Macaca fascicularis: one gene and its partner. The protein of the gene in region 2 purifies or fractionates together with the protein of the main gene of each other region. This does not show direct contact. Links are inferred from orthologs where the notes say so. Each region holds a gene or a part of one and is shown on either strand. Other genes may lie near its edges.

Region 1 (7,077 bases), about 80 Mb from region 2:
TCGCCCGCACAGCACTGACCTCCTCCTGGGCCAGATATTACAGTGACACCACCTTATAACAAGGACCTTCTGATATTTCAGTAACAAAAATCCTTCAGGAAGGGTCTGACAGTGCACAATGCACAGACGACCCCCCGTCCCCAAATCAGCATTCACTTCACACAATGAGCAGCTGCAAACCCTCCTGTGGACGCCTGTGTCCGGTCTGTGTGCACAGGACTGTGTGGGTGGCATGGCCTTGTCCCTGTCTCTCTCTTTTCTCTCAAGAAGCTCTCCAGTTCGGAAAGTCGAGAAATGGATCTTTTGTTCTCAAGAGATACCCCTCCCTGCCCCACAGTGTGCTCAAGTGGCTGTGGCTGGGGTCTAGCTGCCTGGAGTTCCTCCCTGTCCCTGTTCAAGGGAGTCCCGGGTGAGCGTCTGGGTGCCTGCCTGTCTCCATGAGGGAAGTTTTGCAGCCTCAGGCCAGCCAACCCCTGCTCCATCCTCAGAGAGCTCTGGTGCCAGGCTGAAGGCTGACTCACCGTCCGGTCTCCCAGCACAGGCGGGCCCTGCCAGGAAGCAGCTCCCAGTTCTGAGGCCGGCAGTCAGGGCTGGAGCTGACGCAGGGGTGGGGCTGGCCAGGGGGCTGCTGACTGGGCCTGCCTAGGAGTTGGCTGATGGCAGCCCTGCAACCTCCACTGAGCCTGTTCCGGAAAGGGGGTGACTGAGTGCTCAGCGTCTGCAGAGGAAATGGAGTTGGTCTCTTCAGCGAGATGCCCAGGTTTCAGCAGAGGGATGGCCCAGGGGCTCCACTGCTCCCTAGCACCAGGCAGCATAGTTCATTCCCAGGGGACTTATCCGCCGCTGGGCCTCTGCCTCATCCTCATCTTCAGAGGCCTCACATCCAGCACTTCCCAGGACTGGCTCAACACAGACCACCCCCGACCCCCACCCCACCTGCCCACTCCCAGAATGGCAATGCTGGACAGACAGCAGACCCAGCCCCCAGCCCGCCTGCACTGAGCTCCCTTCCAGGCATCTCAGAGTGACCAGGGATGGTCCCATTCACGGCTCATCACGGCTGGAGGGACTCAGGGCCAGGGCCAGCAAAGGAGTGTGCCTGGCTGAGCTCACCTGTGGTCACATGGAGGGCTGGGCACCCACCTCTCCTGCAGCTGGGACAGTGTCAGAGTGGAGGGGCTGGGGCCCTGCTGCACCTGCTCCTCATTCCTCTAGGCTGGGGTTTGTAAGCACGGAGAGAAACCTGAGAAGCAGGGTCAGCGCAAGCCTGGTTGGGACCTCCACACTCCCCAGGCGTTCAAGGCCTCTGGGGCTGTGGCTTCCTCACCTGGGGAGGCAGCCACGTTTTCCAGGACTCCTTTCTTCCTGGACTCTCTTGACTCTCATCCCTGCCCACCTTCCCCTCCCCTACCCCTCCACCCACAAACTTGAAGCACTTTCTGGAAGGGGCTAAGGTGGGTGATGCTGAGTCACATTTATTACCAGACTTTCCTGGCCCCGTGCTCCCAGGCACTGGTCACTGAGTCAGGCATTTGCCAGGGCTGTCTGCCTGGGTGCCTGCTGCAGGAAAGCAGGCTGAGGCCCCAGTTCCCAGTCTGAGCCTTAGAACCAGTGCTCAGGAGGGCTCAGCCCCACACCACTTGTGAGGTTTCTGCAAACCTGGTCCCTTGGCTTGAGGCAGGGATTTCACTTCCTTTGGCAGAAGCCATTGCATGACTGTAGCTGAAGCTTTCTGGTCACAAAGTCACTTCTCCTGGGGCTGTTGTGGGAGTAGCTCTTGGCACACTCTTCCACCCAGAGCCTCCACATCCCAGCTGACGAGGGCACAGGTCCTGAGGTTGGCAGCAAAGATGGGGTGGGGTGGATGCCCATTGGAGCAGGTGGAGTGCCCCGGGAGTGGGCGGAGAATGTCTCTTCAGGAGCCTGAGGTCGGCCCCTGGTGCCCAGAGCCTGAGGCCTCACAACCTCCCCATGTCCTCCTCCGTTACCCACGACTGCTGGTGAGAAGTCCTGCCTGGAGTTTTGCAGGGACCCCTCTCCCTGGTCCCAGAAGGGTCCATGCTTCAACACCTTCAGAGGTCAGTCCATCCTCTTTGACAAATGGGGACCAGGGAGGTAAGGGACTGCCCAGGGTCACACAGAAACCAGGCCACACAATATCACCACCTCCCTCTGCCCAGCACGCTGAAAGCTGCCCGTGCCGCGCTCACCAGGAGCACAGCAGCACCTCCTTGAGCGTCCTGCGGAGCTCCTGGCTGCGGAAGGCGTAGATGAGGGGGTCAATGATGGCATTGCAGATGATGAGGGCGAGAAAGAGGTTGAAGTTCTTGAAGATGCAGCTGCAGGTGGGGTGCTGGGGGCAGAGGACAATGAGTGTGAGATGCAGGAAGAAGGGGCCCCAGCAGAGGAAGAAAATACCCAGCAGGATGGTGAGGGTGGCAGCGCCTTTGAGGCCAAAGCCCTGGTGGGCCAGACGCTGCCTCTTGTGGAGCCGGGCAATGCCCTGGGCGTGCTGGCAGGCCCGGGCCAGCATGTGGACGTACAGCACAGCCATGAGTACCAGCATGGCCAGGAAGAAGACCACGAGGCACAGCAGGACGGCCGCGTGGTCGTAGTAGGCAATGAAGAGCGTGCTGCAGAGGACACTGGCCACCCAGATGGCTGCGATGGCTCGCTGTGCCCGCGGCAACGTCACGATGCTGTGGTAGCGCAGTGCGTAGAAGATGGAGATGTAGCGGTCCACGGCAATGGCGCCCAGGAAGCAGAGGCTGGACAGCATGGAGCTGCAGGTGATCACGTCAATGACATTGTCCAGCTGCTGCACCACGGCAGCCCGGGCCACCAGTGCACCGGCCTCCAGCAGGAGGGTGACGGCCGTCTCCAGCATGTTGCTCCCGCTCACCAGCAGGTCTGACAGGGCCAGGCAGCAGATGAAGCAGTACATGGGTGAGTGGAGGTTCCGGTTCTTGGCAATGGCGGTCACCACCAGCACGTTCTCCACCAAGCTCACCAGCCCCAAGCTGAGAAAGAGCCCGTCAGGGATGGACACCTCTCGGCACCGGGCTCCTGTCTGGTTGGCAGCCAGCCCCAGGTGGGGGGTGGCTGTGGGGGTGGAGTTCAGGGAGCCCAGCAGTCTTCTCTGGGATCCCTGCACAGGCATAGTCCTGTTCAGGAAGCAGGAAGGGGTCACTGGAGGCCCCCAGGTCCCCACAGGTCTCCCCCTCCAGGTGTCCTGCTTAGCTCATGGTGCTGCCAGGGGGCCTTGGGTATCCCCCATGCCTGCCTCCGTCCATCTGGGCACCCCCAGATCTGCCCTCACACTCACCCTCTCCCTGGCTGGACAGGTCAGTCCAGGCATGGCCCAGCCAGTCCAGACACCTCCTGGCATCAACCCTCTGGGCTCAAGGCATCTCACAACCAGTGTGGACAAGCCTGGTCCTCAGCTCCCTCCCTGCCTCTTCCCTGGTGGCTGCTCAGGTCCCCAGGACATTTCAACACCTCTGGCCCCCTCCTGGCCTCTGTCTCCTGCCTCCCTGGACCAGGGTTGGGCTGAGGTCCTGGGAAGAATGGAGCCTTTCTCTGCATTTTTAAAAGTCATCCTCGGAGCCCCTCCCACTGAGGGCAGGCACATGATGGGCACGTGGCAGGGGCGTGAGCGCCCACCACGGCCCGCCTGCCACCAGGCGGTGCGCAGCACCCCGGGGGTCTGTCATGTAGCATATCTCCCTTACGTTAAAAAACACCACAGTCTGTCCTGGTCACCAGGGACCCCACCTGGCCTCCCCTCTAGGAGTCCGGGGCTTCCCTGGGACCTGTCCCCTCCAGAGGCTCCTCTGCCTCAATCACTGGCCATGGATGGCACCCCTAGGCCCCACCCCTCCCCACGTCAGCAGCTCAATGAGGACAGGGCACCCTCTGCTCTCAGCCAAAGCACGCATGGGGCAGCAACTCAGCTGTCAACGTTCATGGCAGATTTGGGGGCGGGACCAGGGAGAACTTTCCCATAATTAAAGTTCTGGAAACTGCGTGAGCCTGCAGGAACTGCACATCGCTGGGGGTGAGGGGGCTTCCGGCCGCGGCAGAGCGTGAAACGGCCCAATGCTAGTGAGCCCCAGAGGAGTCGGTGCTTTTAGGCATCTCAGAGAGGCTGAGGCCACTCTGGCCCCTGCCCCCAAGGGCCCAGCCTCGCCCAGCCAGAGTAGCGACCCCCTGAGCTGCAGCCCTGGGGCTGGGGGTGTCGCTTCCTGGGAGCGGACGGGCTGGGGGCACCCTGGTGAGGTCCTCAGGACCCTCCAGTCATCTCGCTCATCCTCACAGGGGCACCCGGGACGCCGCTCCCGCCCTCCCCGCGCGGCGCCCCATTTCCGCTGTGGAAGGCACCACAGGCCCTGCCCCAAGAGCCACATCAAAGGCAGACCTCTCGCCTCCAGCCAGCGCTCGCACGTGGTGCTCTGCAGGGGTTCACAGCAGGCAGGCATGGCCCGAGACCCAGCAGGGGCGGTGGGGAGGGCCACGGCACCCAGCGCAGGCATCTTCCTGGGTTCACTCCAGGGCGTTCCCAGCACTTCCTCGCTGAGACTGTGCTGACAGCCTCTGTGCTGACAAAAAATCTTCTGAAGGTGGAAGCGGGAGGGGGATGGAATTATTCACCCCATTTACAGGTGCAGAGAAGGAGGCAACGGCGCAGGCGCCGCCCGCGTCAGGGTGTTCAGTGTTTGCATCTGTGATGTTCGAGTTAAAATCCATCCGGTCTCTGGCCCGACTGCCAATCTCTGACCATGAAATGCTCACACCACTCGCAAGCCACCTCCGTGAGCACATCAATATCATTCATATTTACTGATTCAGTAAATATTACTCACTTGTTACATCTGCATTTTACAGTTTATAAATCTTTATTTTTGCTTTGAAATTTTTTATTATTGATGGGTGTGGTGGCTCACGCCTGTCATCCCAGCACTTTGGGAGCCCAAGGCGGGTGGATCACCTGAGGTCAGGAGTTCGAGACCAGCCTGGCCGACACTGTGAAACCCCATCTCTACTAAAAATACAAAAATTAGCCAGGCGTGGTGGTGGGCGCCTGTAATTCCAGTTACTCGGGAGGCTGAGGCAGGAGAATCGGGAGGCTGAGGCAGGAGAATCGGGAGGCTGAGGCTTGAACACAGGAGGTGGACGTTGTTGTGAGCTGAGATTGTGCCACTGCACTCCAGCCTGGGCAACAAGAGCAAAACTGTCTCAAAAAAACCCCAAAAATCATTATTGCCAGGCACAGTGGCTCACCCCTGTAATCCCAGCACTTTGGGAGGCTGAGACGGGCGGGTCTGAGGTCAGGAGTTCAAGACCAGCCTGGTTAATATGGTGAAACCTCATCTCTAATAAAAATAAAAAAATTAGCCGGGTGTGGTGGCGGGCGCCTGCAGTCCCAGCTACTCGAAGGCTGAGGCAGAATTGCTTGAACCCAGGAGGCGGAGGTTGTAGTGAGCCGAGATCACACCACTGCACTCCAGCCTGGGAAACAGAGAGAGATTCAGACTCAAAAAAAAAAAAAAAAAGTGTGTGTGTGTGTGTGTGTGTGTGTGTGTGTGTACATATAATTTTTATTTACTTATTTGAGACACAGTTTCACTCTGTTGCCCAGGCTGGAGTGTAGTGGTGCATTCTCGGCTCACTACAACCTCTGCCTCCTGGATTCAAGCGATACCCATGCCTCAGCCTCCCGAGTAGCTGGGACTGCAGGCGCCCGCCACCACACTCGGCTAATTTTGGTATTTTTAGTAGAGATGTGATTTCACCATGTTGACCAGGCTGGTCTTGAACTCCTGGCCTCAGGTGATCTGCCCGCCTCAGCCTCCCAAAATGCTGAGATTACAGGGGTGAGCCCCCACACCCCGTCTGCTTTAAATTTTTTTTTTTTTTTTTTTTTTTTTTTTTTTTTTTTTTTTTTTGAGACGGAGTCTCGCTCTGTCGCCTGGGCTGGAGTGCAGTGGCCGGATCTCAGCTCACTGCAAGCTCCGCCTCCCGGGTTTACGCCATTCTCCTGCCTCAGCCTCCCAAGTAGCTGGGACTACAGGCGCCCGCCACCTCGCCCGGCTAGTTTTTTTTTTTTTTTGTATTTTTTAGTAGAGACGGGGTTTCACCGTGTTAGCCAGGATGGTCTCGATCTCCTGACCTTGTGATCCGCCCGTCTCGGCCTCCCAAAGTGCTGGGATTACAGGCTTGAGCCACCGCGCCCGGCCTTTTTTTTTTTTTTTGAGATGAAGTCTCGCCATCACCCAGGCTGTAGTGCAGTGGCATGATCTCGGCTCACTGTAGCCTCCACCTACCGGGTTCAAGCAATTCTCCTGCCTCAGCCTCCCGAGTAGCTGAGACTACAGGCGCCCGCCACCATACCCGGCTAATTTTTTTGTTTTGTTTTGTTTTGTTTTTTGAGACGGAGTCTCGCTCTGTCGCCCAGGCTGGAGTGCAGTGGCGCGATCTCGGCTCACTGCAAGCTCCGCCTCCTGGGTTTACGCCATTCTCCTGCCTCAGCCTCCTGAGTAGCTGGGACTACAGGCGCCCGCCACCGCGCCCGGCTAATTTTTTGTATTTTTAGTAGAGACGGCGTTTCACCGTGGTCTCGATCTCCTGACCTTGTGATCCGCCCGCCTCGGCCTCCCAAAGTGCTGGGATTACAGGCGTGAGCCACCGCGCCCGGCCTACCTGGCTAATTTTTGTATTTTTTTTTTAGTAGAGACGGGGTTTCACCATGTTGACCAGGATAGTCTCGATCTCCTGACCTCGTGATCCTCCCACCTCAGCCTACCAAAGTGCTGGGATTATAGGTGTGGATCACCATGCCCGGCCTAAAAAAAATATATATATATATATATTTTTTTTTAGACAGAGTCTTGTTCTGTCACCCAGGCTGGAGTGCAGTGGCGCGATCTCAGCTCACGGCAAGCTTCACCTCCTGGGTTCACACCATTCTCCTGCCTCAGCCTCCCGAGTGGCTGAGACTACAGGGGCCCGCCACCATCCCCGGCTAATTTTTTGTATCTTTAGTAGAGACGGGGTTTCACCATGTCAGCCAGGATGGTC
Region 2 (7,418 bases):
ACAGACGTGTGCCATCACGTCCAGCTAATTTTTGTATTTTTAGTAGAGATGAGGTTTCACCTTATTGGCCAGGCTGGTCTCGATCTCTTCACCTCGTGATCCGCCCACCTTGGCCTCCCAAAGTGCTGGGATTATAGGCATGAGCCACCGCGCATGGCCCCAAGATTTCTTAAACATAACTCCAAAAGCAGTATCCACTTAAAAAGCAACAAATGAGACTTTGTCAAAATTCAAAACTTTTGCTCTTCAAAAGAAACACCATTAAGAAAATTAAAAGACAAGCCAGACTGGGAGAATATATTTGCAAATCACATGGCTGATACAGGAATCTTATCCAGAACACATAAAGAACTCTTTGTCACAACTCCATACGATAAACAATCCAGTTTTTAAAAATTGGACAAAAACTCAAATAGACACTTTTCACACACACACAAAGATACGAACAGAAAGCAAGCCGGGCGCAGTGGCTCACCCCTGTAATCCCAGGACTTTGGAGGCCAAGCTGGGCGGATCACCTGAGGTCAGGAGTTCAAGACCATCCTTGCCAACATGGTGAAACCCCGTGTCTACTAAAAATACAAAAATTAGCCTGGTGTAGTGGCAAGTGCCTGTAATCCCAGCTACTCGGGAGGCTGAGGCAGGAGAATCACCTGAAACCAGGAGGCAGAGGTTGTAGTGAGCCGAGATCACACCACAGAACTCCAGGGCAACAGAGCAAGACTCTGTCTCAAAAAAAACAGAAAAGGCTGGGCAAGGTGGCTCACGCCTGTAATCCCAGCACTTTGGGAGGCTGAGGCAGGCAGATCACCTGAGGTCAGGAGTTCGAGACCAGACTGGCCAATATGGTAAAACCCCATCTGTACTAAAAATTTAAAAATTAGCCAGGTGTGGTGGCATGCACCTGTAATCCCAGTTACTCGGGAGGCTGAAACAGGAGAATCACTTGAACCCAGGAGGCGGAGGTTGCACTGAGCCAAGATCATGCCATTGCATTCCATCCTGGATGACAGAGCAAGACTCCATCTCAAAGAAAACAGAAAGCAGATCACTGATGAGCTGAGGGTGGGGGTTGGGGTAGGGACTTTGCAAACAGATGGAAGGAAACTTTTACAAGGAAAATGTCTGTAACTGTGGTGATGACTGCACAATTCTTTTGTTTGTTTGTTTTTTTGAGACGGAGTCTCACTCTGTTGCTCAGGCTGGAGTGCAGTGGAGCAATCTTGGCTCACTGCAACCTCTGCCTCCCAGCTTCAAGCAATTTGTCCTCCCTCAGCCTCCCGAGTAGCTGGGACTACAGGCGCATGCCATCATGCCCGGCTAACTTTCTGTATTTTTAGTAGAGACAGGGTTTCACCATGTTAACCAGGATGGTCTCGATCTCCTGACCTTGTGATCCTCCTGCCTTGGCCTCCCAAAGTGTTGGGATTACAGGCGTGAGCCACCACGCCCAGCCAGATGACTGCACAATTCTATAATTTAACTAAAAGTCATCAAATCATGTTTACAATGGATGAGTTGTGTGGTACATCAACTACGCCTCAATAAAGCTATGAAAGAGTAAAACAGATACAGTGAAAACAAAGCAAATATTAAATTCAAGCTGAGCACTGCTGCAGAACATACTGAAAGTTCCATTAAGAAAACTGGACAGTGTTAAGTGTTAAAAACACATATATTACCACCCAGTGACTCTTTTTCCTTGACATAATCAACAAAATTGACAGATGTGAAAAGAAAACTTTCTCATGGGGTGATCGAATGGTCCATGGGGGCAACCCCTGAAATCATCTCAAACGTCTCCACCGTCCCCAGTCTGCCCTTGGGGAAACACACCAAAATTCTGCTGAAGCCCGGTCTGCCTCCCATCCATGACCTTACGGAGTTCTCCTTAAGGAGAGAGGAGACGAGGGGAGTCTAGGAAACCAGTGGGGCACGAAGGCAAGGACCGGAAGAGATGAACAAAGAGAAGCACAAGCATCTGCAAGGTCCCAGGGAAGGACGGAGAAGAGAAAGGGAAAAACGTAGCTGGAGAGGACCTGTGGACTGGACGGGCCCGGAACACTGCTGGCACTGGCAACATGACCCAGGCAGCTGTTGGGTTTCACCTGTGTGCCAGTGCCAACCAATTAATAGTGGCTGACTCAGGTGTTCCGTGATGGATGCTCAGGGGGAGGGAGGGCCATGAGTGATTAGCAATGACATTTCAGCCACAGTGGGATCCCGAAGTGGGCTGTAAATGCCATGTATGTTATTTTGTCCAGTCCAAGTGAAGGGACATCAAGTGAGCTCAGGTCCCAGGTGACAGGAAGTGCCACTCAACTTTTTGATATCTGTGTCATGACACTGTTTACTATTAGGGTCATTAGCCAGTCACTTAGCTTCCTTTATGAGCAATTGTAGCAGCTACCATTTGGGGACTTCTGAGCCAAGTGTGGTTCTGAGACCTGTAAAAGCATCAGCCCGTTTTACAGATGAGGAAACTGGGATCCAGGGAGTTAAGCAACCTCGACCAAGCTCACTCAGCCAGAGACAGGCTGGAAGAACATCAGAGATGAAAGAGGACAACAGCAAACTGCTCCATCTGATGTGGGGCCATCAGCCCTCAGAACCTCCAGGGAAACTCCAGGGCTGAAGCACCCAAAGGCCAGGCTGCCCTGCTGCTAGGCCTGGGAAACATGTGTGTACTCCCCAGCAGCCAGGCAACAGTGCGTTCTGCCTAGCTCTGAGTCCATCCCCTTCAGAGTGCCCCCAAACTGTGCTGGTTCCCCTCACTTCATCGCGGTGGCCCCAGGCCCTCACCTAGTCACACCTTACAAAACCTGGGCAGAGCAGTTTTTCAAATCTGAGTGGACGTCAAACTCACGTGAGGAATGGGTTGAAAATGTAGGTTCCCAGGCCCCAGGTGGTCCAAGGCAGGGCCTGGCATGTCTAACAGTCCTCTCCACTTGTGGACCTGGCCCACACTCAGAGAAATCTGGCCTGTGGGTGTCCAGAGACACCCAGGAGACTGAGACATCAGATCACATGAGACGCCAGGATCTGAGGACCCAATCTGGGTGTCCCAATGATGCCCAAGTTCTCTCTCCTCTCCCTTCTCTCCTTTCCACCACAAATGACCCCACGAGGAGATGGAAGGTGAGAATTGGAGCTAGATGCTCCCAGTGAACCCATGCTCATCAATAGAGGCAGGAAGAGAGCGGGAACAAGCTCCCAGGGAGCCCCACACCTGGTCCTGGTCCCAACTGGTTCCAGCTGAGTCCTTGGCAGCCACTTCCTCCTTGACGGTTTTGGTCCCTCAGCCATAACACAGAGACCTGAGTATCGGTGGGTCCTCTCCAATCACTCTCCTGTCCTGTCAGCAAGGACCCTAGCCCCTCCCGATCAATTACAATCATCTCCTTGGGCCCAGCCCCACTCCTCCAACCCACACACCAAGAGCCTCCGTCTTGATGGGAGGGAAAGTGCCCAACCACAGGCTTGGCCTTCACACCAAGCCACCAAAGAAAGAGAAAGCCGGCCGCCGCGGTGAGGTCAATCTGATGACAATGAGCGCTTTCTAGGCAGGAGAGATGCGCCGGGACCCGCGCTCAGCACCCCGCCCCGCCCTCAGGCTTTCCCCCAGGAACTCCCCCGTGTTACGAGGACGGAGCTGAGGCGCCCGGGGCAAAGCGACTGCCCCAAGGTCACCCAAGCCGGGCAGTGGCAGCGCCGGGTACGGCTCGGGCAGGTTCCTCCGGGGCCCCCAGCCACGCCTAGGGGTCGGGGCGGCGGGGCCGCGCAAAGGCTCCGGGTAGGAACGAGGCCCAGAGGGCGCCGAGCAGGGCGCCCTGCCCCCAGTCCCCGCCCCCGCGCCCGCCGGGCCAGCGTTCCAGCCCGCGCCTTGCCGTACGCGCCGGGGGCCGGGCGCTCACCGGACTTCGGAGGGTAGCGATAGGCCGAGTTCGCCTGGATGTCGATGTCCTCCACCCCCGCGATGCGGCGGCTGAGAATGGAGCCCATGGTGAGCGGCGCTGCCGGGCAGGGGCCAGGGCCGAAACGGAAGCGGCGGCGGCGGCGGCGGCGGCGGCGGCTGCAGGGTCCTCACACAGACATGGCCCGGACCAGGCCGCACGGACGCTAGTCCACGGCCGCGGAGGCGCCTCGAGCCCCCACCCCCGGCTTGGCCCGGGACCCGACGCCACGGCGGCCCTCCGCCTCCCGGGCCCCGGGCACGTCGGGAAATGGAGTCCTCTCGCCCCGAAGGCGCCGGGAAGCGGCGCGGGAAGCCCGTCTGGAAACTATCTTTCCCAGGATGCTCCGTTCCCAGGCTCTCTGACGTGTTGACAAGCACTCCGGGACAAACCAAATGGACCTAAAATCAAAGGGAAGGAACCACCAAGCACACCGCAAATGGTCCTTCCCTCTGCGTTCCAAGAGCTGCACTAACATATTAACTCTTTGGTCATTTCATCATCTGTTCGCTTACAGACTCCCCTGCGGCCCCAGCGCCTTCCACTTGCCTCCTCTGAAATTGCTCCCTGAGTCGCTGTGGTTCTCCCCACTCCCCCGGGTTTGTCTCCCGCCCCGACCGGCAGAGGGCGCAGCTGCACCTGCCACCCGGAGCCCACCTGCAGGGTGTGCACCGAAGAAGTGAAGCACCCGCTTTGGCCTTGGCCAAAATTTGAGGACTACCATTTGGGGACTTCTGAGCCAGGTGTGGTTCTGAGGGCTGTATAGGCATCAGCCCGTTTTACAGCTGAGGAAACTGGAATCCAGGGGGTTAAGCAACTTCCGGCCCCCTGACAAGAGGAAGGCCGAGGCCAGGTGCAGTGGCTCACCTGTAATCCCAACACTTTGGCCCCACGTCCAGAACAATTAGTTTAAAGACATAATTTTACAGTCTCCACAGAAGGCAGTAGACTCTCCCACACTTTACACACAGGGAAACTGAGGCACAGAGGAGAGAGAGCCGCATGAAATGCGCTGGGGGCAAGATTGCAAGAATCGCGTTAGAATGAAAACCTCCCAGTGTGCACGGTGTTCCTTGGCTTTTGACTCACACACAGCTCTGGAAACAGATCGCTTTTTACCACTTCTCAGTTGAGGAACTGGGATTCTGAGAAGAGTGATTTCCCAAGTCAAGCCTGTTGTACCAAGAAAGCAGCTAGGGAGGGGCAGGGCAGACTGAGTCTCATATGGTCAATTCACCACAGTCCACATGGAAATGCTTCTTATACCCTTCCAGGGGCCAGAGTCCAGGATCCAGTCTTCCTTTTTTTTTTTTTTTTTTATTCTGTTGCGCAGTCTAGAGAGAAGTGGCACTATCTCAGCTCATTACAGCCTCTGCCTCCTGTGTTCAAGCGATTCTCGTGCCTCAGCCTCCCCACTAGCTGGGATTACATGCATGCACCATCACACCCAGCCAATTTTGTATTTTTAGTAGAGATGGGGTTTCACCATGTTAGCCAGGCTGGTCTTGAACTCAAGTGATCCACCTGCCTTAGCTTCTCAAAGTGTTGGGATTACAGGTGAGCCACTGCGCCTGTCCTCAGCCTTCCTCTTGTCAGGGGAACTTGGGAAGCCAAACGACTATGGCAGCCAAGAGGCTTGTGTGATTATGAGGTGGGTCCAGGTCTTGGAGGAGCCTGATAAAATCTCCCTGGCCCACAACCAAAGGCCACACTTACTGAGCATTTATTATGTGCCAGGCATCATGCTGAGGACTCTGCGCATATTCTCTCATCGAATTCTTTGATGTTGGCCAGGCGCAGTGGCTCACGCCTGCAATCCTAACATTTTGGAAGGCCGAGGCAGGCAGATAGCCTGCACCCAGGAGATCCAGAACAGACTGGGCAACATGTCATGACCCTGTCTCTACCAAAAATGTAAAAATTAACCAGATGTGATGGCATGCCCCGGTAGTCACAGCTACTCTGGAGGTGGAGGCAGGAGCATAGTTTGAGCCTGGGAGGTCGAGGCTGCAGTGAGCCACGATCATGCCACTGCACTCCAGCCTGGGTGACAGAGTGAGACCCTATCTCTAAAAAGGATAAAAATGAAAAAAAATTAAAAATTAAAAAACAGGCCAGGCACTGTGGCTCACACCTGTAATCCCAGCACTTTGGGAGGCCAAGGCAGGTGTACCACTTGAGGTCAGGGTTCAAGACCAGCCTGGCAAATATGGTGAAACCCTGTCTCTACCAAAAATACAAAAATTTAGCTGAGCGTGGTGGTGTGCGCCTATAATCCCAGCTACTCAGGAGGCTGAGGCAGGATAATCACTTGAACCTGGGAGGTGGAGGTTACGGTGAGCCAAGATTGCGCCACTGCACTCCAGTGTGGGTGACAGAGCGATGTTCTGTCTCCAAAAATAATAATAATTAAAAATAATTATCTGGCCGGGCATAATGGTTCACGCCTGGAATCCCAGCACTTTGGGAGGCCGAGGTGGGCAAATCACCCAAGGTCAAGAGTTCAAGACCAGCCTGGCCAACATGGCAAAATCCCGTCACTACTGAAAACATAAAAATTAGCCAGGTGTGGTGGCACATGCCTGTAATCCCAGCTACTCAGGAGGCTGACACGGGAGAATTGCTTGAACCTGGGCGGTGGAGGTGGCAGTGAGCTGAAATCGTGCCACTGCACTCCAGCCTGGGTGACAGAGCAAGATTGTCTCAAAAAAAAAAAATTATCTGATGTAGATTCTATTTCCATTCCCAATTTACAAAACAGGAAAGTGAGGCTCAGAAAAATGAAGTACCCTAATGGGGTTGCACAGTAGGTGGGTGGCACAGCTGGAATTGAGCCAGGCCACTGCTCTTACCTGGGCACGTCCCTGTTTCCACAGAGGCATGCTCCAGAGTGCCAGATTGCCAGGCTCTTGCCCCCAGATGGATGGGCCTGAAGACCCCCACCCACTGTGATCTCTCTTCATTTTATATTTCTTTCCATTGAATTGCAGAACTCACGTACATGTATGTGCGTTTCTGTACCAATGCTGCCTTCGACTGCCCTCCCCGTTTGTGGGGAGGAAGGGAGAGTCCCGAGGATCGCTGTTCCCATGAAAAACAACACTAACACACATCCTCCCTATGGAGCCTGGGTCAGAGCAGTCGTTTCCAGCAGCGGGATGTTTCATTAACTCTTCTCAACAGAGAAGAGTTACCCACACCCAGCTGGAAGACAGGCCCTTCCTGATTTGGTCCAAGTTCCATTATCAACATCTGAGTGGATTCATTTCTTTATGTTTGGAGACAGAATCTCACTCTATCACCCAGGCTGGAGTGCAGTGGCATGATTATGTGGGATCTCGGCTCGCTTTAACCTCTGCCTCCCGGGTTCAAGCGGTTCTCCTTCCTCAGCCTCCCGAGTAGCTGGGATTACAGGCGCCCACGACTATGCCCAGATAATTTTTGTATTTTTAGTAGAGACGGGGT

Evidence for each region.
Region 1: the proteins of MGRN1 (region 2) and MC1R purify together in Homo sapiens (affinity purification with western blotting; 3 studies listed by BioGRID). This does not show direct contact. The link is inferred for Macaca fascicularis from reciprocal best matches to the Homo sapiens genes MGRN1 and MC1R.

Annotation. Positions count from the first base shown.
Region 1 is NC_088394.1:85,853,010-85,860,086, reverse strand, and holds MC1R (melanocyte-stimulating hormone receptor), read right to left. Parts: upstream 4,505-7,077; 5' UTR 3,161-4,504; coding exon 2,207-3,160; 3' UTR 1,453-2,206; downstream 1-1,452. UniProt on the Homo sapiens protein: Receptor for MSH (alpha, beta and gamma) and ACTH. The activity of this receptor is mediated by G proteins which activate adenylate cyclase.
Region 2 is NC_088394.1:5,438,782-5,446,199, reverse strand, and holds the start of MGRN1 (E3 ubiquitin-protein ligase MGRN1), read right to left. Parts: upstream 4,154-7,418; 5' UTR 4,003-4,153; coding exon 3,915-4,002; intron 1-3,914. UniProt on the Homo sapiens protein: E3 ubiquitin-protein ligase. Mediates monoubiquitination at multiple sites of TSG101 in the presence of UBE2D1, but not of UBE2G1, nor UBE2H. Plays a role in the regulation of endosome-to-lysosome trafficking.